Linked DNA regions of Ovis aries. The protein of the gene in region 1 binds, or shares a complex with, the protein of each later gene. Links are inferred from orthologs where the notes say so. Each region holds a gene or a part of one and is shown in the gene's direction. Other genes may lie near its edges. The genes, in order: EXOSC3, EXOSC6, EXOSC1, EXOSC4, EXOSC2, EXOSC8 and EXOSC9.

What was found.
Region 2: EXOSC3 (region 1) and EXOSC6 share a complex: the UniProt entries of both Homo sapiens proteins name them as parts of the RNA exosome core complex. The link is inferred for Ovis aries from reciprocal best matches to the Homo sapiens genes EXOSC3 and EXOSC6.
Region 3: EXOSC3 (region 1) and EXOSC1 share a complex: the UniProt entries of both Homo sapiens proteins name them as parts of the RNA exosome core complex. The link is inferred for Ovis aries from reciprocal best matches to the Homo sapiens genes EXOSC3 and EXOSC1.
Region 4: EXOSC3 (region 1) and EXOSC4 share a complex: the UniProt entries of both Homo sapiens proteins name them as parts of the RNA exosome core complex. The link is inferred for Ovis aries from reciprocal best matches to the Homo sapiens genes EXOSC3 and EXOSC4.
Region 5: EXOSC3 (region 1) and EXOSC2 share a complex: the UniProt entries of both Homo sapiens proteins name them as parts of the RNA exosome core complex. The link is inferred for Ovis aries from reciprocal best matches to the Homo sapiens genes EXOSC3 and EXOSC2.
Region 6: EXOSC3 (region 1) and EXOSC8 share a complex: the UniProt entries of both Homo sapiens proteins name them as parts of the RNA exosome core complex. The link is inferred for Ovis aries from reciprocal best matches to the Homo sapiens genes EXOSC3 and EXOSC8.
Region 7: EXOSC3 (region 1) and EXOSC9 share a complex: the UniProt entries of both Homo sapiens proteins name them as parts of the RNA exosome core complex. The link is inferred for Ovis aries from reciprocal best matches to the Homo sapiens genes EXOSC3 and EXOSC9.

The regions. Positions count from the first base shown.
Region 1 is NC_056055.1:50,987,082-50,991,457, forward strand, and holds the start of EXOSC3 (exosome complex component RRP40), read left to right. Parts: upstream 1-1,398; 5' UTR 1,399-1,413; coding exon 1,414-1,737; intron 1,738-2,738; coding exon 2,739-2,888; intron 2,889-4,376. UniProt on the Homo sapiens protein: Non-catalytic component of the RNA exosome complex which has 3'->5' exoribonuclease activity and participates in a multitude of cellular RNA processing and degradation events.
Region 2 is NC_056067.1:1,305,240-1,308,599, forward strand, and holds EXOSC6 (exosome complex component MTR3), read left to right. Parts: upstream 1-1,473; 5' UTR 1,474-1,516; coding exon 1,517-2,335; 3' UTR 2,336-2,753; downstream 2,754-3,360. UniProt on the Homo sapiens protein: Non-catalytic component of the RNA exosome complex which has 3'->5' exoribonuclease activity and participates in a multitude of cellular RNA processing and degradation events.
Region 3 is NC_056075.1:18,489,612-18,494,135, reverse strand, and holds the start of EXOSC1 (exosome complex component CSL4), read left to right. Parts: upstream 1-1,576; 5' UTR 1,577-1,607; coding exon 1,608-1,638; intron 1,639-1,745; coding exon 1,746-1,861; intron 1,862-4,328; coding exon 4,329-4,403; intron 4,404-4,524. UniProt on the Homo sapiens protein: Non-catalytic component of the RNA exosome complex which has 3'->5' exoribonuclease activity and participates in a multitude of cellular RNA processing and degradation events.
Region 4 is NC_056062.1:13,709,936-13,714,163, reverse strand, and holds EXOSC4 (exosome complex component RRP41), read left to right. Parts: upstream 1-1,474; 5' UTR 1,475-1,533; coding exon 1,534-1,704; exon of another isoform or gene 1,705-2,652; coding exon 2,653-2,859; exon of another isoform or gene 2,860-2,882; intron 2,883-2,956; coding exon 2,957-3,316; 3' UTR 3,317-3,365; downstream 3,366-4,228. UniProt on the Homo sapiens protein: Non-catalytic component of the RNA exosome complex which has 3'->5' exoribonuclease activity and participates in a multitude of cellular RNA processing and degradation events.
Region 5 is NC_056056.1:5,933,651-5,938,303, reverse strand, and holds the start of EXOSC2 (exosome complex component RRP4), read left to right. Parts: upstream 1-1,749; 5' UTR 1,750-1,766; coding exon 1,767-1,888; intron 1,889-3,516; coding exon 3,517-3,618; intron 3,619-4,653. UniProt on the Homo sapiens protein: Non-catalytic component of the RNA exosome complex which has 3'->5' exoribonuclease activity and participates in a multitude of cellular RNA processing and degradation events.
Region 6 is NC_056063.1:24,979,780-24,984,206, reverse strand, and holds the start of EXOSC8 (exosome complex component RRP43), read left to right. Parts: upstream 1-1,471; 5' UTR 1,472-1,496; coding exon 1,497-1,513; intron 1,514-2,807; coding exon 2,808-2,844; intron 2,845-3,076; coding exon 3,077-3,140; intron 3,141-4,125; coding exon 4,126-4,199; intron 4,200-4,427. Other genes in the region: ALG5 (dolichyl-phosphate beta-glucosyltransferase), read right to left, coding at 39-104. UniProt on the Homo sapiens protein: Non-catalytic component of the RNA exosome complex which has 3'->5' exoribonuclease activity and participates in a multitude of cellular RNA processing and degradation events.
Region 7 is NC_056059.1:3,768,973-3,773,619, reverse strand, and holds the start of EXOSC9 (exosome complex component RRP45), read left to right. Parts: upstream 1-1,722; 5' UTR 1,723-1,824; coding exon 1,825-1,890; intron 1,891-2,224; coding exon 2,225-2,319; intron 2,320-2,959; coding exon 2,960-3,079; intron 3,080-3,200; coding exon 3,201-3,303; intron 3,304-4,217; coding exon 4,218-4,355; intron 4,356-4,647. UniProt on the Homo sapiens protein: Non-catalytic component of the RNA exosome complex which has 3'->5' exoribonuclease activity and participates in a multitude of cellular RNA processing and degradation events.

The DNA.
Region 1 (4,376 bases):
CAAAAAAGATCTTCACGACCCAGATAATCATGATGATGTGATCACTCATCTAGAGCCAGACATCCTGGAATGTGAAGTCAAGTGGGCCTTAGAAAGCATCGCTACGAACAAAGCTAGTGGAGGAGATGGCATTCAATTGAGCTATTTCAAATCCTGAAAGATGATGCTGTGAAAGTGCTACACTCAATATGCCAGCAAATTTGGAAAACTCAGCAGTGGCCACAGGACTAGAAAAGGTCAGTGTTCATTCCAATCCCAAAGAAAGGCAATGCCAAAGAATGCTCCAACTACCACACAATTGCACTCATCTCACATGCTAGTAACGTAATGCTCAAAATTCTCCAAGCCAGGCTTTAGCAATATTTGAACCGTGAACTTCCTGATGTTCAAGCTAGTTTTAGAAAAGGCAGAGGAACCAGAGATCAAATTGCCAACATCTCCTGGATCATGGAAAAAGCAAGAGAGTTCCAGAAAAACATCTATTTCTGCTTTATTGACTATGCCAAAGCCTTTGACTGTGTGGATCACAATAAACTGTGGGAAATTCTGAAAGAGATGGGAATACCAGACCACCTGGTATTTCAAGTGAGAGCCTTGAAAGTCAGAAGGGGAGACCCAATGTGCTATTGATTTGCAATTCAGCTGCTCTTCACCTGGGCAACTAAAGCGTGCTCCAAGGAAAACAGCAGCAAAGATTTAACTGCAATTTCTGATTTTCCCAGGCCGTGGAGGGGAAGCTTAGTTATATGGAAATATGCAAGTGATATGTAAATATTTTCGGGGGAGGTGGGAAGGAAACGCAAACCAAAATGTCAACATTCATTTTCATTCATTCATTCACCAAGTATTATTTATTTCGTGCCAGGACCTGCGCTCGAAGAAAAAAAGTGAGAACTATCTGACAGCCTAGCATAAAGACAAACAGGGAGCAAAACTAATGCTTTTCATTTTCTTTCTATTCTTCTCTGGTCTTCCACAACGTGAATAGATAAAAGTTTCCTATGCAAAAGAAAATACTGAATACTCTTCCTGGTAAAAGATTAGCGGTCCCTCAGCACGTAGAGTCAGAAGACAGAGCCAACTCCCGAAGGCCTGCTCAGTTCCCAGGGTTTCCACGAAATGAAAGATGCTGGGGTCTCATACCCCACTGTGCATCTCAGACACCGGGGGAGGAGGCTCCGCAACTGACTCAAGCTAGCGTTTCTCCTGCGGACCTGCGAACAGACTGCTGGATGGGCGGCCAGCTAAAGACACGATCATAGCCATCTTGAGGGAACCCGCTAATCCAGAGCGATCGGACTTTGAAAACAGGTTCAAATCCCACAAGCCTGTGCTGCCGGAAACGGAAAGTCTTGGGCGAGCTGGCGATTGGACGCAGAGCCGGAAGCCGGAAACTGTATAGTGACGCCCGCGATGGCTGAAGTAGCGGGTGTTGCAGCGGAGTCCCTGGCTGGCTGCAGGGCGCGGGCAGCGCGGACGGTGCTAGATCAAGTGGTGCTGCCGGGCGAAGAGCTGCTGCTGCCAGATCAGGAGGACGGAGAAGGCTCAGGAGGTGCAGGGGAGCGACCGCTGCGCCTAAACGCCGCAGCGCGCTCCCGGGGACGCGTCGTGTGCGGCCCAGGCTTGCGGCGCTGCGGCGACCGACTGCTGGTCACCAAGTGCGGCCGGCTCCGTCACAAGGAACCCGGCAGTGGCAGCGGTGGTGGCGTTTACTGGGTGGACTCGCAGCAGAAGCGGGTAAGCTGGGACTCTGGAGGGGTTGTCCGGCTGGGAGAAGGCTGAGGATACTCTTCGGAAGCACGGAAGGGGCCCTGGAGCCTTCCTCTGATAAGGCTAGAGAAGAGCCGCTGGAGTCTTTGTGCTTACTTCTACAACTCCTTTAGAGGGACCGTGAACAACTGGAACGTGGCCCTAGATGGGCGACCAGGCGAGAAAAGACCCTGGGGAATATAAGGGCACATAAGAGGATGAAGACTGAGGCGTGGTCATTGTCTTCAAAACCTTATAGGTCAGGGAGCAGCAGACTTGCCTTTCGGTGTTCCAAAGACTCAAGTTCAATGAGTGGATGTCACAGGGAGTTGTTTCTCTTAGAATAAATAAGAAATTTCACATAGGAAGAAACTAACAACAGAATGACCTTGCTTGGTTGTGGGGACCCTTGTATCACTGCTGCTGCTAAGTGGCTTCAGTCGTGTCCGACTCTGTGCGACCCCAAAGACGGCAGCCTACCAGGCTCCTCCGTCCCTGGGATTCTCCTAGCAAGAATACTGGAGTGGGTTGCCATTTCCTTCTCCAATGCATGAAAGTGAAAGTGAAGTCGCTTAGTCGTGTCCGACTTCTAGGGATCCCAGGGACTGCAGGCTACCAGGTTCCTCCGTCCATGAGATTTTCCAGGCAAGACTACTGGAGTGGGTTGCTATTGCCTTCTCCCCCTGTATCACTGAACTCTTGCAAACCAACTCTAGGGAGTTTCTGATAAGAATTCAGAAGAGATAAGATGATACACTTAAATGAACACTGTTAGAAGCTGGAAATCTGAGAGTTTATCATGTGATTGGTTTTCTTTTAAGGGAGAGTGACATATGATCAGGTTTGTTGTAAGGTTTGTATTGATTTGTAAACATGGATTTTATAATATTTTCTAAATATTTAAATTACAAACATAACAACCGCTGAGGACTTGTTGAAGATGTCTGAAAAATGATTGTCATGTATGGTGGTTCTCTCATTTTTTGTAGTATGTCCCGGTGAAAGGAGACCATGTGATTGGCATAGTGACAGCTAAGTCTGGAGACATATTCAAGGTTGATGTTGGAGGGAGTGAGCCAGCTTCCCTGTCTTACTTGGCATTTGAAGGTGCCACTAAAAGAAACAGACCTAATGTGCAGGTAACAACAGGACCTTTGGTTTCAAAAGTAGCAAATATCCATTTCCTAAACAGTCATATATCCAGAAGGCTACCGGAACTGTCTTATTTTCCTAGTGCTATTGGGTGATCTTGGAGCATCTTTGTAATCACTCCAGGCTTCAAGAGTTCTTTCAGATGCTCCACCTCTGGGACCAAAGCCACATACTTAGTTTACATTTGCTATGTTGGGGGATATTTTCATCTCTGCTGAAAGGTTATATCTGTTATTTGTTATATCCATATACACTGGACAAGAAGTAAGCCAGAGGCTTGGGGAGGAAGGAACAGTGGTGGAAATTGCCATACACTCATCCGTCTTTTCTGGATGTGGGTCCCGGGACTTGTATCTCACAGCTTCAGTTACATCACTGTTTCCCAACAGTCCCATTTTGCAGCTGACAGTAGTCGTCTTGCTACTTCAAGTTTCAGCTTGGGCTTTTCAGGTAGCATGGCCACTCTTCCTGTCCATCCAAGCCAGAAATTTGGAGGTTTCTTTGCCTTTTCTCACTCATCCTTCATGTTGAGTCTCTCTGATTTGCCACATGTGCACCCCTTTATCTCCACTTTGCAAGTTCAGGCCTTGGCTGTCTCTTGATCGGACTTTAAGTCAGTGACCTCCTTAGTAACATCCTGCCTGTACACCTCTGCCCCTTCATCCAGGCTTTTAAGAGCTGACAGCCTCTCATACCCCTTTCTGCAAAAGAAAAAGTTCTTCAAAGCCTACATGTTACTATTTCCAGAGGTCTTCTCTCATCCATAATTATATCTCCATGTGGCCCTGCCTGAATTACACTGAACTATTTAAGAGCACCACTGAATTCATAATCTCTGCTCCTGTACCTTTGTTTATGCTGTTCCCTCTGTCTGGATTGCTTTATCCTCTTCTCAACCTGTGGAACACATTCTGGTCTTTCAAGACCCAGGCTGAGCACCACTAACCCTCTGTAAAAACACCCCTAATTTTCAGTCATTTTTCTTACTGGATTCAGCTGTGAATGAAGTTTGTTTACATATATATCTCCACTGCCCTCTGAAAGTAAATGCTCTAAAAGGCAGAGAATGTTCTTTCTAGTTCCTGAGTCACCAGCAGTTGTTGGTACTTAATGAAACAAGTTTACTCTTCATTTCCATAGTTGGTGTCATTTTGAAGTTCAACTTTTGAGGCTTTTAAAGTAATTATTGTATGGAGAACAGTCAATGAATTACTAATATTCTGTTTTGCTTTGAATAATTTGCATGCCAGGGGTTGTTTCTTCTGTAATCCCCTAAAGCAGTGCTGTGCAATAAAACTTTGTGGTGATGCTAGTGTTTTACATGCACTGAGTATTATGGGAGCCACTAAGTCACACATGGCTATTGAGCATTTCAAATATGGCTAATGCAACTGAAAAATTGCATTTTAAGTACATCGTTTTAATTAAATGTAAGTTTAAACAACTACATGTGAGTAGTGGCTACTGTACTTGAC
Region 2 (3,360 bases), on another chromosome or scaffold:
CCATCCAGCCAGCTCTCCTTCCACCACAAGGACGTTTGAATCTTGAGACCTTTAAACAGTCCCATCTGTCCTAACCCAGCAGTAACCGGAACTTCACCTGAGAGCCAGCCTGTGACTCAACGCCCATGTTACATTTCTGCCCTGAGCACATCCGTGCCGTCCACCTAGAACTACTACCCCAGGATTGCTTTTTCATCATCACACTTGTGTCTGTAGAGAGTTCTTTGCAGACTCAGTGCTATGGGCCTCAAGGGAAGAATCATTTTCTGCTGCAGAGAATAAAAAGGCCATGTGCAATACTTGACAGGATACCGCCACGTGATTCTTTTACTCCTCCTCCCTTCTCACCCTCCCTCCTGTGATAACTTGTGCTTCCCTGGGTGTCTGTAGACTAGTGGCTGTGGTTCCAACTGGTTTCTGGTTGCGGCCCTTGCTGAGTCCAGCCCCAGACCCCTGAACTTTGAGAATAATGGTGCCTGGATTTGCGTCAAAACATCTATGGGGATGGCTCACAGAATAGGGTGATGAAGATGGTCCCTGGGGTTGCTGGCAGCGGAGAGCGTCTTCGTTTTTGGTGCTTTTTACAGAAGAACATTCTCGTTGATAAGTCTCCTATGTCTTTTCCTCTCCTGATGTACAGGTTGGATGTGAGGTCAGAGACATTCCTTGGTATAGGAGGTTTTTAGGGAACATCAGTTGCCTCCTCCCAACACCCTTGACTGCCAGGTCATTCCAGGTTTCAGGACCTAACTTGGACGGTGAAGATGGAGACTGACCTGGTTCTGTCCATTTACCCCAGCCTGAAGACAGCTGGGTGTGGGAGCTGTAGTGTGTAGTATTTAGTTGTGCCCTCTCTGGCTGACTTCAAGTCCCCTGGGTACAGCAGGCTGGCCCTGAATCATTCTCAGCCCTGCTGACTTGGAGGGAGCAGAAAAGCAGGTTTGTGCTGAGAGAAGAAGCAGAGACCACCAGTCACAAGGCCTGGGGGTGAAGAAGAGGAGAAACAGGAAGGGTGCTGAGGCCCTGGCTGCAAAAAAGCAAGCCAGGTGAGGAGTGTGAGGGATACAAAGCTCACACAGTCCGCAGCGCGGGAGCGAGTTCCAAAAGCACTCCACAAGCTGTGCCAGCCAGGGCGCAGTACCAAAGGGCCCTCTTGGACAAGGCGGCGGGGGAACATGTATACGGTTGTGTCACTAGTGTAGGACCGATTACAGCTTCACAAGTGAGAGGAAGAAGACCCACGCGCTGGGCTTGCGCTGGCGTGAAGGCTAGAGGTCAGCGGGGCCGGTCTAGACCCCACTTCTGCAGGCCCGTCTGATCCACCCATGCACCCAGCTCTGGCCGTCCTCGCGGTGGCCCGGGGCTCCGCGACGCGCACCGTCCCCCTCCGGGGCGGCAGGGGGCGGTGTGGCGCCAGCCGCTCTCCCGCGCACCCTCGCGCGGCCGGGCAGGCGGGCGGAAGCGCCGGCGCGCGGGGCCCCGCTGACCCGCGGAGCCGGCCGGCAGCAGCGCCGCCATGCCCGGGGACCACCGCCGCATCCGCGGGCCCGAGGAGTCGCAGCCGCCGCAGCTGTACGCGGCCGACGAGGGCGAGGCGCCGGCCCCTCGCGACCCGGCACGGCTGCGGCCGGTGTACGCGCGCGCCGGGCTGCTGAGCCAGGCCAAGGGCTCGGCCTACCTGGAGGCGGGCGGCACCAAGGTGCTGTGCGCCGTGTCGGGCCCGCGCCCGGCCGAGGGCGGTGAGCGCGGCGGCGGCCCGGCCGGGGCGGGCGGCGAGGCCCCCGCGGCGCTGCGCGGCCGCCTGCTCTGCGACTTCCGCCGCGCGCCCTTCTCGGGCCGCCGGCGCCGCGCCCCACCGGGCGGCGGCGAGGAGCGCGAGCTGGCGCTGGCGCTGCAGGAGGCGCTCGAGCCGGCCGTGCGCCTGGGCCGCTACCCGCGCGCGCAGCTGGAGGTGTCGGCGCTGCTGCTGGAGGACGGCGGCTCGGCGCTGGCCGCCGCGCTCACAGCCGCCGCGCTCGCCCTGGCCGACGCGGGCGTCGAGATGTACGACCTGGTGGTGGGCTGCGGCCTGAGCCGCGCGCCGGCGCCCGCGCCCGCCTGGCTGCTGGACCCCACGCTGCTGGAGGAGGAGCGCGCCGCCGCCGGCCTCACCGTGGCGCTCATGCCGGTGCTCAACCAGGTGGCTGGGCTGCTGGGCAGCGGGGAGGGCGGCCCGACCGAGAGCTGGGCGGAGGCCGTGCGCCTGGGGCTCGAGGGCTGCCAGCGCCTCTACCCCGTTCTCCAGCAGTGCTTGGTGCGGGCCGCCCGCCGGAGGGGTGCCGCTGCGCCCCTCTGAGCCAGAGACCCGAGCAACGACGGACGCCAAGGACCGACCCGCAGCTGCCGCCACAAGGACCCGCGCCGTCGGCCTGCAGATGCGTGCGCCGAGCTGAGAACCGGGAGCACCGCGGAGGATCTGCGGAGGCGTGCTCAGAATAGCCGTGTTGGAGCGATTCTTTCCAGACTGCTTCGTTAAAGAAACTTTTCTAATTGAGTTGACTCCCAGCCACGATCCAGTTGAAGAAACCTGCCAGCGCATCTTGACTCCTAAGTTGGAAAGGACTTCCGCTGTACTCATCGGGAAAATGATGCCTATGCAGGCCAGCCGGGGGCTCCCTCCTGAATAACTGGGCTGCTTTTGAGAGCGGGGACAAGGAGGCTGTGCCTTCCACGTATATCTGAACCCAAACAAAAACTCTTTTTATAATCTGAAACATTCTGTTGTTTTTGGTACCGACTTTAATGAATAAGGCTCTTCTGAGCTGGGGACTGTGTTCTCAGGGCTTGGGACAAGCATTATCTTTAATGTGTCCTGGGGTTGCTGGTCCACTAGTGAGAGGGCACTTGAACTGCCAGGAGTGAGAGTTTCTGGATGCTGGAGATGCCATTCTGTAGGGCAGAGCGGGTCTGTCTGACCAGGAGGGTGGGCTCTGCCCTGTGTGGCTCCTGAGCCCTGCAGGTTTGTGCTCAGGTCTGAGTTGGCGAAAGGGCCGCCTGGGGTCCTCCCTGCACCAGCTTGGTGTAACCTGAGCTTGTGTGTCTTAGGGGCCTGCTCAGCTGTAGGAAAGGCTGGCTCAGGCAGCTGAGAGACCAGAATGAGGCCTGGGGACCACACCAAGAATCCCTGACTAGGGGGAAAAATACAAATTTTATTTGACCCCAGTGACATAATATATATTTCCAAATCAGATCTGAAATACAGAATCACAGCAGAAAGAAACAAGATAGAAACAAAGTAAAAATGGTAACCCTGTGGACGCTCAAACAGGACTGGGGGCTTTGAGAGGGAAGAGAGCTGACGCTGCTCCGGGGGGGTGGGCA
Region 3 (4,524 bases), on another chromosome or scaffold:
AGCTTAAGACCAGATTATGTAAAAGAAGTCTGAGACCAAGGCCCCCTTCCCTTATTTTACTTAATGAGGTTTAGGGGGGTATGGGAATGCCAGGGAAGAAATATGTAGTCCATGGGACCACAAGTGAACATAAGTTTTCATCTCAGGAAACTGAGATAAAGCAGAACTCAAAAAACTGTGTGTTGGGGGTGAAGGGTGGTGATGGAAGTGAACAGGGCAGGAAATAAGAGTTTCCCTATCACTCCAAACAGAGAAGGCAATGGCAACCCACTCCAGTACTCTTGCCTGGAAAATCCCATGGATGGAGGAGCCTGGTAGGCTGCAATCCATGGGGTAGCTAAGAGTCAGACAGACTGAGCAACTTTACTTTCACTTTTCACTTTCCTGCATGGGAGAAGGAAGCGGCAACCCACTCCAGTGTTCTTGCCTGGAGAATCCCAGGGACGCGGGAGCCTGCTAGGCTGCCGTCTATGGGGTCCCACAGAGTCAGACACGACTGAACCAACTTAGCAGCAGCAGCAGCATCACCCCCAACACAAGCCTTGAACACTCTGATCCCTCAGTCCTACCAACATAGTGACACGTGCCACCAGTTCAGAGGGGAGTGTAGGTCACAGCACTCTCCTCTCCCCAAGGCTCTCAGTCACCAACTCTTTCCCAAGGGGAAACTGGACATGGGGGCTATTAGGGGTGGGAGGACACACATAGATTCCAAAGACACCGAAGAGCAGAGGAAACAAAGTCGACATAACTCATTTGAACAAAGATGCTGTTTTCAGGGTGTTTACTGCCTGAAGCAGCAAGTGTCAATCATCAGTAAAAGCAACACTAATTCATGCAGACTTTCCTTCCAGACTAGCACGCTTCCGCAAGATTGGAGACTGCAGTTACAGAAACTGAGGAAACGTTTTATTTCTCAACAAAGAATGATAGACTGAAAGTAAAAAATAACTTGAGTACCCGTTCGGTCTCTATCTTGATTTTAGAGATACTGTACAATTCTAATCCTATCCCTGGGGATGAATTTCCAAATCTGTGAAATGGGCGAGTTGGCTGGGGTGACCTTCCAGCTCCACGCCTCAGGGCTGCCCGGAGGGTGTGTTCCGTCCGGTTCGAGGGCACGGCCGTGCAGAGCAGGAACTCGGGCTCACAAGGCCCGGGAACAGGGCCCGACCCTATTAAAAGCGACAGGACTGGGCAGAAAAGGCCGCAGCTTCGCTCTTACCTGCCGCTGGCCGATTCCTCAATCAGCCAAGTCGAACCCCGCAGCCTCCGCCGCAGCTCACTGCCACCCCCTCCAGCTCGGCGTCCACCGGCCCTGCTCAATCCAACCAACCATGGCCCACCGCCCACAGGTCCAGCCTGCAGACCCGGACCCACCGCCCGCCCATCCTTGTCCACAGGCGCAAGCGCGAGAGTTCCGAAGCCCCGCCCCCGAATTCGTCCCGATGCAACCTGGGAAATGGAGTTTACGTCTTCTGGAAGCGCTTCCGGAGATTACAGATAGAGCACACCAATTAGCGCGTTTCTTACTGCGTAACTGCACCTGGATATTGGCCAATGAGAGGTCGGCCTCATTTTCCTCGGGATTTGGAACAGTGGCAGTCATGGCGCCACCCGTGAGGTACTGCATCCCCGGTAAGTCAGCGGTATCTAGAGCAAATCGTGGGCAGAGACAGGGGCAAGAAGGCCAGACGACCAACAGCTTCAGCGGACCCGTGGCTGATGCAGCGTTTTTTCCGCAGGCGAACGTCTGTGTAACTTGGAGGAGGGCAGCCCGGGCAGCGGCACCTACACCCGGCACGGCTACATCTTTTCGTCGCTTGCTGGCTGCTTGACAAAGACCAGCGAGAACGGCGCGGTAAATGGGGCAGCTTCCCTTCTCTTCTGTCTCTTTGTCTTACGCTGCCTTTGATTTCACTGTCTTTAGGCAGGGTCCTACGAGCGCGTCTTTAGTGCCTGGTTTAGGAGAAGGAGTTAGTCTCTGAGTTTCTGACAGCTGGGATCCCCGCTGCTGGACACTTAGCCATCACAAATTAATTGTGTTGTCTGGCTTGGCTGTGTTGCTGACCCTCCGGGAAGCAAGCTGGGGAAAGAACGGAGGCGAGCTCAGCCGTGCTGTGAGCTGAATCCTGGCCGAATGTCGCCTGCTTCTCTGGCTTCATTTCGCTCCGCTACCCGCGCCTCACTCTTTGCAGAAGTCCTACTGTCTTTTTCAATATCGCCAGTGGACCACAGAGTCTTTGTACACACGCCGTCTGTCTGGAACACGCTCCTCTCTTCCTTAGCCCGATTAAATCCTACCTACTCAGCGGAAGAGAATCCACCACCATTGCAGGAGACGCGGGCTCGATCCCTGGGTCGGGAAGACCCAGGAGAAGGGAATGGCAACACATTTCAGTATTCTTGCCTGGAAAATCCCATGGACAGAGGAACCTGGCGGGTTACAGTTCATGGGGTCGCAAGAGTCGGACACGACTGAGCGACTAAACCACCACCACCCTTTAGATAACCTCACTAGTTATCACTTTCTCAGAGAAGCCCTATAGACACCACTAGTCAAAAAAGGGAGTTTTGTTTTTTGTTTGTTTTAACACTCACAAAGAACTGTTGGGGTCAGTTTGCCTGTTTGTTTTGCCAGGCAGCATGCAGGATCTTGGAAGGAACCCATCCCCCCTGCAGTGAAAGGTCAGAGTCTTAACCATGGGACCACCAGGGAGGTCCCAAGAGCTGTTACTCCCTTTCTAAGCACTTAGTTCAGCATGCAATTTAACACTCAGTTATAAGTTCCCCATTAGACCCTTCCACTACTATGCACGTAGCGCGAGGTAAATGCTCAGTAGATGTTTATTGAATGTATGAATAATATTATTCTCCCTGGTTCCAGAGGCTGATCCATTATTAGCTTGGGATCAGATAAGCAGTTCTTGGAGGAGCAGCTTAAAGACTGGAGGTGGTGGGGGGCATGGGTTTAGTCGCTAAGTCGTGTCTGACACTTGAGACCTCATGGACTGTAGCCCACCAGGCTCCTCTGTCTATAGGATTTTCCAGACAATAATACTGGAGTGGATTGCCATTTCCTGCTCCAGGGGATCTTCCCAACGCAGGAATTGAACCCAGGTCTCCTGCATTACAGGCAGATTCTTTACTGACTGAGCTATGAGGGAAGCCCAAATCTCTATACAGTCCGTGGAATTCTCCAGGCCAGAATACTGGAGTGGGTAGCCATTCCCTTCTCCAGGGGATCTTTCCAACCCAGGGATCGAACCCAGGTCTCTGACATTGCAGGCAGATTATTCTTTATCAGCTGAGCCACCAGGAACGCCCTAGAAACTGGGAGCATAGTAGAAAGAGGATTCAGTATTGACTAAACCTTAATTCTGCCTTAGGTAAGAAACTTTCACTCCCTTTATAGGTTCTTACCTATAAAATGAGAGACTTTTGTATTTGATCAATTTGGGGAATTTCCCTAGGATTTGAAAGTTTGTTCATTTTATAGCTGTGGGATGTGATAATGAGCCAAATATATGTGGTCTCTGCTATCAAGGGGTACAGATACAAACTAAGCAAATAAATGCTCAAATGAAGGTATACTTACACATATGATGGCTGCTCTGAAACAATATTACAGAGTACCATGAGAACATGTAATAGGTAAATCCAGCCTAGTCAGAAGTGATATTTAGTCTGAATCTAAAGGATAAATAAGAGTTGAGTGAGTGAGCAGAAAGAGCAGGTTGAAAAGAGATCCTGAGATGGGAAAAAATTTCGTGAATTGGTGAAACTGAAAAAAGACCAGGAGAGCTGAAGCATATTGAACAAGGGAAAGGTTAAGAAAAGATCGGGCTCAAAAATATCTTTCCTGCACCAATAGCCAGTACCATGCTCAAAGAGGAAACTCTACAAGTGTTAAATAGAAGTAAACAAGTATGGCCACTGTTATATAACATTTATTTGAAAATTCTAGCCTGTCCAATAAAATGACAAACCAAAAGAAAGATGTAACTTTGGAGGAAAGAGTTAAATTATCCATGATTACAGGCAATGTAGTTGTATGTGGAAAAACTCTTAAGAAAATCACAAAAAAACTCAGAACTCATCTGAAGTGGTAAGATTATATCTTCTTACACCTTTCTTTCTGTGGCCCCTTGGCCCTCCTGTATCCTAAAATTTCTAAGGCTTTCTGCTCTGGGCTACAAATGAATCTGTTGTCCACCTGCCCATGTGACGTCTACTGTGGCCCAAGGTTTCCCATTTTACTGTCAAGTCTCAAATACCTTTATCCAAGGCTTAGCCAGAATATTCATGTTTTATTTTTCTCTCTGCAGCTTCCTGTCATATCTGTGATGAGAGAAACGGAGTCCCAATTACTGCCAGATGTAGGAGCTATTGTAACCTGCAAGGTAAGTTGGTCCTAACCTCCCTGCTTAGGATACCATCCAGTGTTGAAATCATGATCCTTATAGAACTGCACTGTCCAATATGGTAACCAATAGTCACATAACGTCATTTAAATTTCAATAA
Region 4 (4,228 bases), on another chromosome or scaffold:
CCTCCCTATAGTCAGTGTCACAGCCCTGCTGATTTATCCTTCCCTATTCAAACCTGAAGCATGGGATCTGGTTTCTAAGCACTGCAGAGGGGCTGAATAATGCCCTAAAGTTGTGTCTGACTCTTACAACCCCATGGGCTATAGCCCGCCAGTCTCCTCTGTCCATAAGATTCTCCAAGCAAGAAGACTGGAGTGGGTTGCCATTTCCTTCTCCAGGGGATCTTCCCAACCCAGGTCTCCTCCACTGCAGGTAGATTCTTTACCAGCCGAGCCACCAGAGAAGCCCGAATAATGCAAATGAGGAGGGTAATGAGCTCCCTGATGGTGACCTTGACCACCAAGCAAATGGTATCTGGAAACAGGAGGCAGCTGTGGAGGAAAACATCTCATCCCCCCTCCTGTGAGCCCCTCTGCTGTTCCAGGGCATTTGACATCAGGCCACGAAATGCAAGAGGAATGGCAGTAACCCTCTGAAGAGGGAAGGATTATGTAAAAAACTTTTAACATTTATTCCAGGTGGGAAAGGACGGAGAATCTAACTCCCACACAGCCTTCACTCAACCCCGGGACACACATCCACTGCCCACAATGGGGTGGTTGCTGGGTACATTCTACTTATTACTTGATACTCGTATCAACCAAAAAACTATGAGTTCCACAGGATTACTTGGACAGATTTTATATTTTTGAGTTAAATGCAAAAGTGTATGAAACAATCGCATTTTAAAAAATAAGAGTTCCAAAGGCCACTATATGGCTGTACATGTACAGCTGCATATACACGTGTCTGTGTGTGACCTGGATGTAATTATGAGTGTGAAGAAAAACGGAGCCATTTTTTAAGCTATAGTAGATAGGGGGATGAGTGCAGAGAAACAAGGCAACATGGAAAATTGAAACTAAAAAATTTGACCATGTGTACGTACAACATAAATGTGTCTGCTTTTTAAACGGACAAATGTAAAAACTAAACGGTTTAAAGAAAAAAAAAAAACAACTGCGAACAGAGAGTGTATCTCAGCTTGGGAGAAGGCCTGCATTTATGACCGCGGAAGAACTTAAGACCAGCAGTGGCGGCTATCGCCCGCAAACCTCGAGGGAGATACCAAGCGTCAAGCAGAAGTAAAGGAGCGCCAGCGGCGCGGGAAGCGCGGGGCTCAGTGGAGAGGCCGAGGGAGAGGCGGCGGCGCGGGGCGGGCAGGCCCGGATGGTAGAGGGAGCCGTCCCCATGACCAACCCGGGAAGAAACGACACGGCGACTCCACGTCCGGCATGCCTCCAGCCCTGCAGGCGCGAGTGCGTACCCCAAAAGGCCGCAAGGGTCCCTCCCCGGGCCCACAGCCGCAGTTCCGCAAGGACCGGAAATGAGATGTGGTGCCCTCGGGAACTCTGGGAGAATCGCAGGGGTCCGGAACCGGAAGTCGGAGTCGGTGCCCCGGAAACCGTAGTCCTGGGGAATCGGAAGTGGGGAGTCAATTCTACCGGGAAGTGTAGTTCTGCCGGGCGCTCAAGCCTGGCTAGCGCCCGGGCGGCATGGCTGGGCTGGAGCTCCTATCGGACCAGGGCTACCGAGTGGACGGGCGGCGCGCTGGGGAGCTGCGCAAGATCCAGGCGCGGATGGGTGTATTCGCGCAGGCCGACGGTTCGGCCTACATCGAACAGGGCAATACCAAGGCGCTGGCGGTGGTCTACGGGCCTCACGAGGCGAGTGGGCGCGCGCGAGCCGGGCTTCCTCCGGGGGTGGCCACTACGGGCTGTGAGGGGCTACCTGGCTGAGTAGAGGCCTCGGGGGTGAGGCTGGCGCGCGCCGCCTTGTGGGGCCGCGGCCAAAGTCCTAACAGTGTCTTGCACGACGGTCCCTGCCTTTCTCCAGCGCTCGCTACACCGCTTTGTTACTCCTAAAACCGCCAGGGCCGCTCTCACTGGCTCCCTCACCTCTCAGCTCCACTCCGACGTCACCTCTGGGTGACACCTCACCCCATCCCACCCCAGACCACCTTACCTACCCTTTACAAGTCAAGTTCCCTCCTTTACATCCACACACTTATCTGGTTTCCCGCACCCGCCTCCTCAGACATCAGTTTAACTTATTTCTCACTGTTTGTCTCCTCACTGGAACATAAACTCCGTGAAGACAGAGAGTGTTAATAAAACCGCTTGGGTTTATCACCACTCCAGCGCTGGAGACTTAAGGCCAGAGAGGTAGAAGTAAGCATGGCACTCTTGCAGAGCAGAAAGACTGGTGATGGGGAAGAGGGTGGTAATTCCAAATGAGACTGAGGGATTTCTAGGGAAGCAGGAACCCAGGACCTTTGTAAACAGGGAAAAGATTTAGGATTTTTATCTCACGCGTGATGGGAACTCTTTATAAGGTAAGCAGTATATGTATTGTGCAGAGGAGGTAGAATCAGACTTGATATATGTAAACAGATTCTCATACAAAGGAAGCATGGGGTCGAGAGAGGACGAGTCAAGAGGGGAAACAGGGAGGCCTGTCAGGAGAGAGATCCAGGGACGATGGTGGCTTAGAGCCTGGCCCAATGGCCCTCCCTCGGGCTGTGTTGTTTTGCAGGTAAAGTGGTTGCTTGTTGGGATGTTGGAGGTAGAGGGAGGAAGGGCCTGGCTCATGTGTTCTCCCCCACCCTACCCCAGATCAGAGGCTCCCGGGCACGAGCCCTGCCTGACCGGGCCCTGGTGAACTGTCAGTACAGTTCTGCAACCTTCAGCACAGGGGAGCGCAAGCGGCGGCCACACGGGGACCGCAAGTCCTGTGAGATGGGTCTGCACCTGCGTCAGACCTTCGAGGCAGCCATCCTTACACAGCTGCACCCACGCTCCCAGATTGACATCTATGTGCAGGTGAGCAGGCAGCAGCCCTCAGCCTGTGGAGGGGAGAGAGAAAGGAGGAGTTGGGGTTCAGCAGCTTGAAACTCATGCCACTGGGGGGTTCCTGCAGGTGCTGCAGGCAGACGGCGGGACCTACGCAGCTTGTGTGAATGCAGCCACGCTGGCAGTGTTGGACGCGGGGATACCCATGCGGGACTTTGTGTGTGCCTGCTCAGCTGGCTTTGTGGATGGAACAGCTTTGGCAGACCTCAGCCATGTGGAGGAAGCAGCTGGGGGCCCCCAGCTGGCCCTGGCCTTGCTACCAGCCTCAGGCCAGATTGCACTGCTTGAGATGGATGCCAGACTGCATGAGGACCACCTGGAGCAAGTGCTAGAGGCCGCTGCCCGGGCTTCCCGGGATGTACATACCGTACTGGACCGTGTGGTCCGGCAGCATGTACAAGAGGCCTCTGTCTTGCTGGGGGACTGAGCACAGGGCCACCCAAGCCCAGAATAAAACCTAAGCACCTTTCACTGTACTTTTATCTCTTCCCCACCGCACTTCCTTGCCCTTGGATCCTGGCCTGGTGCTGGCTCTAGCAATGACTAAGGGTCCGCCCCCAAGACATGCACTACACACCCCTTGCAGCCTCAGTGCTGCTCACCCTGCTCATCAGGGTGCTTCAGGTGAGCACCCTGAAGAAGGCGGATGTCCCTGGATGAAGTGAGCAGCCTGGGCCAAGAAGGGATTGCTGGGCAGTGAGACACAGCCTGGTATAACGAGCCATGCCCCACGACCATGGAGTCTGTCATTCTCATCCCAACACATCCAGAGTCCTGAGCACAAGTCCTGAGGGGTGGCTTTGGGTATTCACTATGGTCATGTGGGGGCCGTGTCCCACATCCTCTGGATTGTGGCTGGGACTGAAGGGTCTCTTGCCCTCTAGAAGCCTTTTGGGCCTGTCCTGCTACTTCCCTTGGGCTCCAAAAGTACAACAGACACATAATGTCACCTGGCGTCTTCTCAGTCCTGACCCTAAGACAGACACTGCCTGCTGCCCCACCACTGCACCTTCCTCTTTCAGGCTCCCCCTTCTTCCACCTCAGACTTGACTGAGCCCTCACCACCAGGCCCTGCAGCCTGAACCAAGGGGCTGCTCCTTCTCTAATATCCCAGGCACCTCCTGGCCCAGACAGGGGTGCTTCCCACTTTCTACTCAACACACCCCAGCTCCTTTGAAACCCCTTGGCCAGTAGTTTCATGCACCTTCTTCCCTGTGGTCATCGGACCCCAGTGATCTTGGTTCTGGACACATGCCTGATTCCACTCGGCTGGTTTTGGTTATTGACATCCATAGGAATGGACCCACCAACCCCTTGGCCTCTCTGCGGAAGCCCCCTC
Region 5 (4,653 bases), on another chromosome or scaffold:
AGACTATAATCCAGCATGCAACTATAACCCAGGACTAGAACGTGGTCTAGGAGCATTCCCAGGCCTGGCAGCCTGACTGAGCTATACTGCTTCAAAGGACACCACTGCCCTCTTCTGGTCGAGAGCAGACTCAACGGATGCACCCTTTCTCATACTTTTCTTGGCTCTAGCCCCTTCTCCTCTGTCCTCTGTCTTATGAGATGGTTGGATGGCATCACCGACTCAATGGAGATGAGGTTGAATAAACTCCAGGAGATAGTGATGGACAGGGAGGCTTGGCATGCTGAAGTCCATGGGGTCACAAAGAGTCAGACATGACTGAGCGACTGAACTGAACTGAACTGAGCCCCTTCTCCAGGCAAGGAGGAGGGCAAGTGTCTGGCTGTCCACTTACTGATGACCTGTGAGCAATTAGAATCTATATAACTGACTACCTTACAGGGTTGGCTTTCTAGACAAATGTAGTTGTGAGCCACGCTTAGGTGAAAGAAATGCTATCCTTTTGAAGATTTACCAGGCTATTGGTCTGATGGGTCTTCAGGAGAAAACAGACTTAATTTACTGGTCTCAGTGAGTGGTGCTGATGCAAGTTATTTTATTTCATCCTATTTAGAATCCCTGTACTGGGCTGTGCTGTGCTAAGTCACTTTAGTCTTGCCTGACTCTGCGACTCCCGACTCTGAGACTCCACAGACCATAGCCCACCAGGCCCCTCTGTCCATGGGATTCTCCAGGCAAGAATACTGAAGTGGGTTGCCGTACCCTCCTCCAGGGGATCTTTCCGACCCAGGGATTGAACTCGTGTCTCTTATGTTTCCTGCATTGGCAGGCAGGTTCTTTACCACTAGCGCTACCTGGGAAGCCTGCATGAAGAATTATCACCTCCAATTCCCTGAGGTTGAAACTAAGTCTGTTGCGAATGCTATAAAGCATGCAGGGCCAAGGGTGAGGGAGAGGGTAGCACCTGGGGAGAGGGACAAGCGAAATACTCCTGACGCCTAGATAAAACCACATATCCTTCCATCTGTTCATCACTGAACCCTTAGGACAGCTCCTGGCTCATTTCACTGTGTGAGTAAATGTACGCGAAAATCTTTGTATTGTGTCCATTTGTCCTCCCTGACAAAACATACCCGCTTGGCAAGATTTAAATGTGTTCTTAGACGGCTTCTTGCTTTTTCCAAAAGAAATACCAGGGAAATCAGCTCGCTTAAGAAAGAATGGAAACAGCACCTGCAGCACTGTTTGGGGGTGTAGATGATGGTTGGTGCTGAACTAGCACTCACGAAGTGACAGTAATGTAGAATACAGGGGCTACTAGTAACAGTACGAAAAGAGACTCTTTCCTCTGTCCAAATAGTGTTTTCTCCTCTTGATCCTCCTGGTCAATCGCATACCAAAGAAGAGAGATTTCAGCAGCTTTGAATTGGAAGGAAACTCAGAGGCCCACTTCACAATTATTTATAACCCTGGAAAACAGTAAGTGAGATGAGCACAAGAGTTTTGCTGAAAAGTCGAACGCTATGCAACCTGAGATTTTATTATTTGACAAGAGCAGCCTTGCCAATAGTAAAAATGGCAACTTGACTCCTTCCTTCCCTTCGTGTTAACCTAATGGTTGCCAGTAGCCAACATGGAGGCCAGACCGTGAGTTCCCGTTGGCGGCTGTTCTGAGGCCCCGCCCCTATGAGCGACGGCTGGAAATTGCGGAGACGGAAAGCGTGACTCCGAGTGGGGCTGCGCCTGCGCGAGTTATTGGCGCCAAGATGGCGTTGGAGATGAGGCTTCCCGTCGCTCGGAAGCCTCTTAGCGAGAGCCTGGGCCGCGAGAGTAAAAAGCACCTAGTGGTGCCAGGGGACACGATCACCACGGACACAGGCTTCATGCGGTACGTGGGGTTGTGGGGACACTGGGCGGCAGGGGCGGCTGCATTGCTCTCTTTCCGCATCAAACCTGGGCCTGTGTTCTGCATCTAAGTGCTCGCGGTACCCGGGGCGCATCTGGGAGCATCTCAGTTGCCTCGTTTTCGAGGCTTCGGACTTCCTACTTCCTGCTTCTTGTATGTCCCCGTCTGTAGCTGCCTCAGCTCCCCCGAAACCTTCCTGTCCCGATCACTGGTAGCTGTGACTCGTGGGTCCTGTGCCTCAGGCCCCGATTCTGAGGCCTTCCTCGTTGAACCTGCAGCTAGGGCCTCCTCACAGGTTTCGGCGGAAGGGATGGTGGGCGTTTTTGACTTCTTCCACTTAGCCCTCAGCATTCCGTCTCCTAGCCAGGGGCACGGTTTTGGAACGAGCCATTGCTTGGGCTTAAAGAAAGTGAAGTCGCTCAGTCGTGTCCGACTCTTTGCGACCGCATGGACTGTAGCCTACCGGGCTCCTCCGTCAATGGTATTTTCCAGGCAAGAATACTGGAGTGGGTTGCCATTTTGGGCTTAGGGGGCATGCAAATATATTATGTTACATGCACCAGAATAGGTAACTTTGAGTCTGAGGGCAGGCTCCAGCTTAAGGGCAGCTGGGGTTCCGGTCCTGCTGCCGTCACAATATTAGCTGTATCACCTCTCCGAGGTCAGTTTCCTCGTCTGTAAAATAACTATTCCAGAGAATGGTGAGGATTCCATGAAAGTGAAAGTGTGGAAGAGTTAGTCCCTCAGTCATGTCCGACCCTTTACCACCCGGTGAACTGTAGCCCGCTAGATTCCTCTGTCCATAGAATTCTCCAGGCTAGAATACTGGAGTGGGTTGCATTCCCTTCTCCAGGGATCTTCACCACCCAGGGATCCAACCCAGGTCTCTGGCATTGCAGGCAGGTTCTTTACTGTCTGAGCCACCAGGGAAGGATTACATGAGGGGTAATGATTATGAAAAAAAGTAAGACTCACCATTCTATCACCATCACAGTGGTCAACACTACTCATACCTCAGGCAGCCTCTGCCCTCCCCCCATATGCATATGAGAGAGGTACAGCGTTTATTCCATTGCCCTTTAACCTCTTAGTTTGGGATTATTGGTTCCCAGGAAATCTTAAGATTCAGTCCTTTATTCATGCAGTCCATAAATATTATTTGTGGTTGGGGTATAAACTGAACAAAGAGGAAATCTCTGTCCTGGTGGACTTTATGTTCTGAGACAGACAGATGAGAAATAAGCACAACAAACAAGTTATTTAGAATATTTGCTGGTAAATGCAGTAGAAAAGAATAAAGAAGTGAGGCAGGGTAAGTGGAGCATAAGTTGGAAATATGGTGGGGATGGCAGCCGCAGGGCGGGTGACTATTACAAATGGGAGAGTTGAGGAAGGCCTGGTGGAAAAATGCCATTTGAGTCGACTTGAGTACAGTGCAAGAGATGGCCACGTAGGACTCTAAAGAAGGAGTGTTTAGGCAGAGGTGGCAGCCAGCAGAAAAGCCTGTCTTTGAGGCAGGAGGAATCAGATTTGAGGAACACATTGTTCTGGCTGCTAGAGGTCACCTCAAATATTACCCTGGTATCCTTTGTATCTTCCTGTTGCAACAGGGGCCATGGAACCTACATGGGGGAAGAGAAGCTCATTGCATCTGTGGCTGGCTCTGTGGAGAGAGTAAACAAGTTGATCTGTGTAAAAGCTTTGAAAACCAGGTGAGAGCAAAAGGTGTGTATTTTGTGGCATCTGAGTTGCACAGCCAGGTCTTTTCTGCCATGACACACCCCCTACCCCCAGCCCTGCCTGCCCTGTCGTTCTGTAGGGCTGGGATTTCGGGAACATGACTGGAGGAAGGGTAGAGATGACTGTAGGTAAGGGTAGGCTTCAAAGGTTTCCCTACGATATCTGACCTCTTCAAACTTGGGTTCCCTCTCCTGCAAAATGAGACCTTGCCTGACCTCCTGGGTAGGATTTTCCTTGGAATTCACCGAAATAGTGTGTATAAAGTACTTTACACAGAGAGCCGTCTGCCTTGAGGGCTCAGTAAAGGTTAGCCCCAGAACATGAGCCAGTGGGGTTGGAACAGAGTGAGCAGGCGAGTAGTAGGAGCAGATGCAGAGAGGTGAGGTAGGCAGTCTGCATGCCCTGCAGCCACGATAAACGTTTCTGACTTCCACTCTGTGCGGTCTAGGAAGGCCCTGGAGCAGAAGGACCTGATCCGCCGCCCTCTGTTTTAATGGAGTCACTCTGGCTGCTGTTGGGGGCGGGGGTGGGGCAGGGTTAGGGAGCCAGATTCCTGCTCTGTTCTCATCATCTCGGTTGGTGGTGGCTTGGACTAAGGTGATAGCCATAGAAGTGGGGAATAGTGATCAGTTCTGCGTGTATTTCGTGTTCTGCGTGTATTTACTGTGAAAAGCTGTAGGATTTTGTATGTGGGCTTTTCTACACGTAGGACTATGTCTGTGAGAAGAGATCGTTTTATTTCTTCCTTTGGGGTGCTTTTTATTTTCTGCCTACATTGGTAAGGTAGAGGTCTTAGAATCTGCTGCTGGACCTGTCCTGGAGCAGGAGAGAGAGGGGAGGAGGGAGATACACACGGTTCCTCCAAAGACTCCAAGGACTGTGGCTTGAGCAACCGGAGGGGTGGAGTTGCTATTTCCTGGGCCGGTGACAGTTGGGAGAGGATCCATTTGCTATAGTGGAATTGAAGGGGCTGCTAGAAAGCTTTGTTTGAGGTTTCTAACTTACGC
Region 6 (4,427 bases), on another chromosome or scaffold:
AGCCCAGGTCCGCGTCTGTCCCCAACCCCTCTCCTCACCAGAATCAGGGCCGCGGCGGCCAGCGCCACGCCGAGCACCGCCAGCTGCAGCAAGACCGGAGCCATCCTCCATGCCGGGCCGCCAGCCGCCCTATCCCGCGTTTACACACACGCGGAAATGCGGCCGCGCAGCCCCGCCTCCAGCCCGCAGAGAGGCCATGCCAGCTGGGCGCCCGCCGCCCACAGCGCCACCTCGCGGCCAGACCCGGTCACGCCCGGGGACCCGCGCTGCCCACAGCGCCACCGCGTGACGAGACTATGTTGTGTGCGAGCGGCTCTGTTCAAACGCAGTAGGGTTGTCAAAATCAGCAAGGAGAAATAAACGGATGTCCACTTAAATTGAATTTCAGATAGCAACGGATCGGTTTTCAACAGCACTATTAAAGTATAACACACACTCAAAGTTCGCCCATTTAAGAGCTTTTTGTTATATTAACTTTGAAAAACTGATCAAATTTCCCATTTTAACCAGTTTATGTGTCTACTACAGGGACATTGACTGCACTCACAGCTTCCTGCAACCATCACTACCGCCTCTTGCTAAACCTTTCCCAGTTCTCCCCCAGCTTCTGGTAACAACTAACAACATGAACAATTTTGCGTGTACTCTTTGTTCACCTGACATTCAAATTGAATTGGATGTCCTGCGTTTTATCAGCAACCCTTTCTAGGAAGGAGGTGGAGTGGAGGTTTTGAGCCACGACACAGTCTACAACGAAAGTTGTTTCTTTGGAGCCCACTCTTGGCAGCTGCGTAATGTAACCTGATGTGGATAACCAGCGCACAGAATTTTTAAATTTTCGGTGCTCTAGCAGGAGGCTTTTACCTGGAAGAAGGCAAGCCCAGGGCTCAGCCTAAGGAGGAGGGGGAAAGAACGCGGAAACACTGGAATAATGCTCCACGCTCAACACTTGATTTTTTGCTATACCGTCGGTTTTCTCTGAAACTTTTGAATGGTGGGCTTCCTTGGTGGTTCAGCGATAAAGAATCCGCCTTCAATGCAGAAGACGCAGGAGACATGGGTTCCACTCCTGGTTTGGGAAGATCTTCGCAGTTTAGTATTCTTGCCTGGAGAATTCCAAGGACAGAAGAGGCTGGTGGGTTATAGTCCATCGGGTCGCGAAAAGTCTGATTCTACAGAAGAGACTAAGCACGCACGCTTGAACTATCAAACTGTTTCTAAACAAACACTCATAACTTTCGTAAAAGCCGATTCGCCAAAAACGTCAAGGTCAAGAAAACCTAAAGGGGCGACTGGCTAGGGGTGGTCGAAGCGAAGCCATGCGGGAAACCACCCTCACCTCTTCTACCTCTACTCTGGTCCATACAACCCTGCCTTCTACATATCAGGTAGCAGAATCAGTGTTGAAAGTGCTGAAGCGAAACAGCAGCGCGGGCCGGAGGGGTGGTGATACGCAGGCGCGGGCGCGGGCGCAGGCGCAGATCGGCGGGCGGAAGATGGCGGCTGGGTTCAAGTGAGTGCGGTAGGCTGGCGGGCGCGAGTTCGTAGCCTGGCGGTCGGCGGCTTCCCTACCCTTGGGATTTTCTCATCGGGAGGCCACCCCACCTGGTTCCCATTTGTTTCCACTGCAGAAGGAGACGTTGGGCGGGAGAACTGAAGGTGGTCGTAGTGAAGGGAAAGGGCGCATCTTCTCCCCAGTGATAGGAAGTACTGTGTTGAGCAGGTACCCGCTGCGAGCGCTAGGCTTTGTGTGTAGTGGACTTTGCTGCACAGGAGAGACACTTGTAATCTTGTAGAAAGCGTTGCTTCAAAACCTCAGGGCGCCCTGCTTTCTCTGCCCAGTAGTTTATGTGTAAAAGCATTCTGCCTCGTTAGAAAGGTTTTCCTTAAGCGTTTTCGGTGCTGCTCTCTGGGGAAGGCTATAGCTTTTCGTTCTGAGTCGAGTTTTAAATGGATGCAATAAATAGGATTCCAAAGGAAACCAGTTATATTGAAACGACCATGTATTTGTATAAACTCCGGGTTTTTGACACAGTGAAATATCTGTTTTGAAATTAACTTTCTTAGATAAGGCCTAGTGGGAAGTCTAAAGTAACTCCTGAAATTCGAAGTAACGATACGTCTTACACTTACCATAAAGTCAGGTCGCTCAGTCGTGTCCGACTCTTTGCGGGTCCCATGGACTGTAGCCTGTCAGGCTCCTCCATCCATGGGATTTTCCAGGCAAGAGCGCTGGAGTGGATTGCCATTTCCTTCTCCAGGGGATCTTCCCGACCCAGGAATCGAACCTGGGTCTCCCGCATTGCGGGCATACGCTTTACCGACCTTAGGCAACTATAAAGTAAAAACGAAAACATCTTAATCTGTGGTTGTTAAAGTCGCAGGTACGGCTAATATTATAGTGGTTTATTGCCTATGCTTGTAATCGAAGAATATGCTAAATTTAAGTCGGGGTAGTGAAAATAAATGCGTAATTTTTTTTTTTTTCCTACTAACGAAGTATTCCTGCTTCAAAGTATGAGTGATGCACACCTGGATTCATTCTCTTTTTAAAGAGGCCTAGGGTTTTGGTCTCGATCCTTATACTTGTTTAAAGCAGAATTAAAATCAGTCTTCGAGTGTGATTGTTATTGCAAAAGTAGCTACTTTTTATAATTAGCAACATGTGGCAACATAAACTAGAATTCATAACAGAAACTTAGTTACAAATTTTGGAGATTTCTGCTCCATCACCCCACTATTAAGATTGTTGTGTTTCTGGATTTATATTGATTTATAATTTATCTCATTTTTCTCATGTCTTTCAGAACTGTGGAACCTCTGGAGTATTACAGGAGATTTCTGGTAAGTAAAGGTGATTATGTGATGCCCTTTGATAATGGTATCATATGCTTTTTTCATAAATACAAGTATTAATCATGTTATTCACCTAATGTTCTAAGTATACTTCAGTTTTTAAAAGACAATTTTAAAGTAATACAGATTAATTTATTTGAATTAATGAGGTTCAGTGTGTTTTCCTTGGTCTGTGTAAGATATACATGTAGCTGTAATCTACTTTCATATATTTACTTAGAAAGAGAATTGCCGTCCCGATGGCAGAGAACTTGGTGAATTCAGAACCACAACTGTCAACGTAGGTGAGAGTACTTTGAGTTCTAAAAGAATGTTGAAGTTGCTTCAGTTCTGAAAATAGAATTTTTTTTCTTAATAGCAACTTTTTATTTGTAGAGTTTTTTTTAACTCACTCTCCTCTCATTAGTGGGCTTCCCAAATGTCTTGGTGCATCAAGAATCTACCTGCAATGCAGGAGACAGGTTTGATCCTTGGGTGGGGAAGATCTCCAGGGGAAGGAAATAGCAACCCACTGCAGTATTCTTGCCTGGAAAATCCCATAGACAGAGGAACCTGGCAGGCTACAGTTCATGGGGTCACAAAAGAGTCACATACGACTGAGCAGCTAAGCACATCCTTTCAGTTTTTATGTTCATATTAAATTTTAAAGTAACTCTGAAGTGTTTTCCCCCTTCAAAACTTGTAAGGTTTGGTTTCCTTCTATATCTTACATTATTAAATCTTCTGTTGCCAAACATGGAATTTTCCAATTTTACCCATATGACATTCCCAGGTTTTAGCCTCTGAGCCATTTAAACGGTGTTTTAGACAAATTCTACCAGGTCTAAGGGATTACAGTGATTTTTGTCAAGAAATTTTAATAACAGCCCTGTGATTAAATGACAAATGATTCACTCAAAATCAAGAAAATGAATAATTCCTAAAACAATTCGGTTGACCCTTGAACAGTGAGGGGGTTAGGAGCACTGACCTTCACAGAGTTGAAAATCCAAGTATAATCTTACCGTTATGGATTGGCACTCCGTATCCAAGGTTCAGCATCCTTAGATTCAACCAACTGTGGATCACGTAGTACTGTGGAAGTATGTATTGAAAATAATCTTTGTATAAGTGGACCTGTATAGTTCAAGCCCATGTTGTTTAAGGGTCAACTATAATTTTACCAAGACTCAAGCAAGGAGTAAATTTTCACGGACATCTTAGATATTTAGAGATAAAAATCATACATAAAAGAAGAAAACATTTTCATTTTAAAAAAATACTTTTCAGGTTCGATTGGTACCGCAGATGGTTCTTCTTTAGTGAAGCTTGGAAATACTACAGTAATTTGTGGAATTAAAGCGGTAGGTTTAATATACTTACTACCAAGATTTGAGTTACTAAGTTAGCTTCATATACTTAGTAGATTATAATATACATCTATAATTCTACTGTTGATTGGGCAGTCAGGTGTTTTAGTATTTGTTTTCATTTCCCAAGTTTTAACCTTTGAGTTTTAGATAATACAACCCAAGTTTAATGACTTAATTATAATTTGTGAACATTTGCAAATCTGCTGAAACAATTTTTTA
Region 7 (4,647 bases), on another chromosome or scaffold:
TTCTCATAATCAATAAATTTATCATTGCTATTTTGCAGATGAATAAAAGTGAAATATATAGGCTACATTGGTGAAGGTCACAGAACAGTTAAAGGGCAGAGTCAGAATCTGGGCTCAGTGTGGAATTAATTCCTGCTTTTAACTACAGACAGTCCTGGACTACAATGGTTCCACTTTCCATTTTTCCATGGCTCGAAAGCAATATGTAGAAACCATACTTACAAGTTTTCATCTTTCCCCAGGCAATGGATATGTAGTCAGATACTCTATGGTCATGTCAAATACTGGTAGCAACCACAGCTCCCTTAGGCATCCAGGAGTCCACCTGAAATGCAAGAAATCCTGGGTTTGATTCTTGGGTCAGGAAAATCCCCTGGAAAACGAAATGGCAACCCACTCGTTTTCTTGCCTGGGAAATCCCACAGACACATGAGTTTGGCTGGCTACTGTCCATGGGGTCACAGGAGTTGGACACGACTTAGTGGCTAAACCACCAACAAACAACTGATACAACCGTTTTGTACCCATAAATCTATGTTGCTTTTCACATTCAGGACAATATTCAGTACATTGCACGTAATATTTAACACTTTATTATAAAGTAGTCTTTGTCTTGGATGACTTTGCACAACTGTAGGCTAATGAAGGTGTTCTGAGCAAGTTTAAGCCAGGCTGGGCTAACCCATGACATTCTTAGGTTAGGTGTATTAATACATTTTCGACTTAACATGGCTTTATCTGCACATAACTCTACCCTAAGTGGAGGAAGATCTGTACTTCTTGATTCTGTCTCTCCCCAAAAGCCAAGTGGTTGGCAGACGAACACACTAAAAGTCCTCTACGCCTGCTATAAAAGGAGGTTAATACCTTAAAATAACTGGGGAGGCTGTAAGAAATAAACAGAAAATTTTGTTTCAGTCAGTGGTAGGTATAACACGATCAGTTACAAACTGCGAATATTCTCAATTCTTGTCAGCTTTTCAAGGCTTACGAGGTTACACGGTCAGCCGGTAGTACCCTAATTCACCATCTCAACTTTCTTCCTTCCCCTACTCTTCACTTAACGGCGTTTCTCCAATTCTAGTGTTTCTCCAATGAATGTGTAGCAGCTTTTTAGTAGCCACATCTCAACCTCCTCATCTGTCAAGCAGCAATAATACCGTCTAGTCTACTCCGCTAGAACTGAAGATAGAAGTGTGAGAGTGCTCTACTGATATTAATTTCTATCAGTGGTGGTTTTGTCGGGGTCCTTTTCTCGCTTGCTGCTGCTGCTGCTGCTAAGTCGCTTCAGTCGTGTCCGACTCTGTGCGACCCAATGGACGGCAGCTCACCAGGCTCCCTCATCCTTAGGATTCTCCAGGCAAAAACACTGGAGTGGGTTGCCATTTCCTTCTCCAACGCATGAAAGTGAGAAGTGAAAGTGAAGTCGCTCAGTCGCGTCCGACTCTTCGTGACCCCATGGACAGCAGCCCACCAGGCTCCTCCGTCCATGGGATTTTCCAGGCAAGAGTACTGGAGTGGGTTGCCACTGCTTTCTCCGCCTATTCTCCTTACTTTGTAATAAAAGAAACAGATCTTTCCGGTTTTCTCTGAGTTTTGCCTCCTTTTGCTTCACAGCAGGGCGAATTCAGTCAGGAAGGCGTAACTTTGCTTTGAGCTTGCGCACTAGCGACGCCCCGCTAGCCTCCGCTTTCTCAGCTTCAGCCACCGCGCTTTGATGACGTCAATACTCTGCGCCGCGGTGCGAGCTGGGCGCGCGTGAAGAGTTTCGAGTTCTGTTTTCCCTGCGAATTCCAGTACTTGGTGGTCTCCTGATTTGACAGTATGAAGGAAACGCCACTGTCAAACTGCGAGCGCCGCTTTCTACTCCGCGCCATTGAAGAGAAGAAGGTAAACTAGGAATTAGCGCCGCGTCAGCGGTTGGGTTGCAGGCGGCTCGCAGCCTTGCGGCCTGGATGCTTGGACTTAGCTCTCGTAGGCCCGGGGAGCCCCAGGAGTAGCCGCCAGTGCTTCCCCAAGCCCCCAGTATTTATTTGGCTCAGGTGGGGTCTTTTCAAGGCTCGGGTCATGCCAGCGACTGTCAGTACCCGGGCACCTAGTTTCCACTCTCCCATGTGGAGTAGTTAGTATCACACTTACCTCTAAGTTCTTAGCCCGGGGCCTGTCTAGCAAAGAGTGATAGATATTTGTATTAGGAATAAACGAATGAATGTTCTGCTTACAGCGGCTGGATGGCAGACAAACCTATGATTATAGGAACATCAAGATTTCATTTGGAACAGATTATGGGTGCTGCATTGTGGAGCTTGGGAAAACAAGGTAACAATTCAAATTAGGTATAAGCTCAATAGAAATTTAAAAGAACTTTATTGGCTCAGTTTACAAAGCATAAGAAGTCTGAACAGTACTTTGTTTAGCTGCCCCAAATAAGTATATTTTCTTTAATGTAGGACTTTAGTTTTATAACTACACTTTATATTTTTAATCATGAATATATTTTCTGTCAACACGAGCCACACATAGTTGTTTCTGATCTCTGTGAATCATATATGCAGCCAGCAGTGATTGCACTGAATTTGTTCCTTAGACATTTGTTGTCATTGCGAAGGGCCTACTTTTCTTCTTTTCCTGAGTGATGTGAGAGTTTGATTTTTAATGTTCATTTGGAAGTTGTGGAGATATTGGTCAGATAATGTTGGTGAGCTATGCCATATGAAAACTTAAGGTGTCTCAAGTTGCATGTCCGATTGTATCACTAAATATTTGTGAAAAGAGGAGTAATGGTCATTGACGCTTAAAAATCTGTGGAATAGTAAATATTGTAATAAATGTTTTTGTGTATGCCAATATATGTTTTGTTTCTGTATATATTCTACTACTGTACTTTGTGTGTAACTTCAATCATAGGGATATATCATACTGAACATTTAGTTAACAGATTTGCACTTTATTTTTGCAGAGTTCTTGGACAAGTTTCCTGTGAACTTGTTTCTCCAAAACTCAATAGGGCAACAGAAGGTATTCTTTTTTTTAACCTTGAACTCTCGCAGATGGCTGCCCCAGCTTTTGAACCTGGCAGGTATTTAAATCTATTTTTTTTAAAAAACTGCTTTAACCAGAGGAAAGCCTAACAGGGATGAGCTATTGTTTTAATGCCTGGTGTTACATTTCTTGACATTAGCCCATTCCTGTTTTCACAGGCAGTCAGATCTCTTGGTGAAGTTGAATCGCCTCTTGGAAAGATGTCTAAGAAATTCGAAGTGTATAGACACTGAATCTCTGTGTGTTGTTGCTGGTGAAAAGGTGGGCAGTATACCCAAAATTCTTAATCTTGGGATAAGTGCTGTTGATTTGTGGATCTCTCTACCTATACTTTCATTCCCAGAGCTTCAGTTAATTCAGTTTTATTCTGGTTCACTTCAGATGTTACGGAGTGCTGTCTATAGATCTTCCTATAGAATCTCTCTTTGGAGGGACAAAAAACATTGGTGAAAATAGTAGCTTAGATTTGCATACAAATTCTTTATTCAAAGAACTTGTGGTTTTTACATATTCTCATGTCTCTTTCTTATGTTATAAGTGAGTTGATGGAAGCAGGTAATAGTCTCCTTTTTTATGGATGAAGAACTAAAGAACTGATTAAATCCTTCATTTGGATAAGTTCATTGACCTACACAGGGCCTCATAGTGAGTCACTGGTAGTCTGACATTGGAAATATTACTGTCAACATATTGTGCTGCTTAATAATATTAAAACTTTATTCTTGATTAGGGTATTTTAACCATCTTTTGGCTTCAGAGAAGTCACTTTAATCTTTCCACATCACATACTTGAATATTATACTTCCTTTACTTGTAAGGTTATCATAAGTATTGTCCAGGAACCTAAGTGTTTGAGTTTTTTAAGTTCGGAGACAATAAAAATACATTAGTCTTAGAAGTTAGGGAAATCTTAGTACTAAACATAAGAGTGGTTCTGTTCAGTTGGAGTATATATTTTACTGTTGTCAGATGACTCATAGAAAGGTGAACTATTGGTATTTCAGGTGTTGGTCTGGATTAATATTTTTCTAAATATGTTTTTACTGGTACATTGGAAGGAATAAAGGCATGTTTTAACAGCAAGAGAAAAATCTGCACACAGTGTTATCTTTCCTTACAAATAAAGTGTGCTTGTGACCAGTTAGGATTTATTTTTGTTTTAAATTCACATTTAGGTTTGGCAAATACGCGTGGACCTACATTTATTAAATCATGATGGAAATATTATCGATGCTGCCAGCATTGCTGCAATTGTAGCCTTATGTCACTTCCGAAGGCCTGATGTCTCTGTTCAAGGAGATGAAGTAACATTGGTAAGCTCCCGTGATGTGAGCCAGGCTCCTTCTTAAGAATGAATGACGTGCAGGACAACTTGTTTTAAATGAAGTTTTATTGTAAATGGCAGTTAGATATGTTCTAAAATTTGTTCACAAGGCAAAAACTACATGTGCTCATAATTGCCCTTGAAATCTCTTAAATCGCCTATACAGAAGTTTTGTCGACAGAAGTACAGGCTATCTTGATATTTTAGAATAGAACTAGATTGGATTGAGCATTAGATAAAGTGGTTGGCTTTTGCTTAGGGGGTGTGTGAGAAATATACAG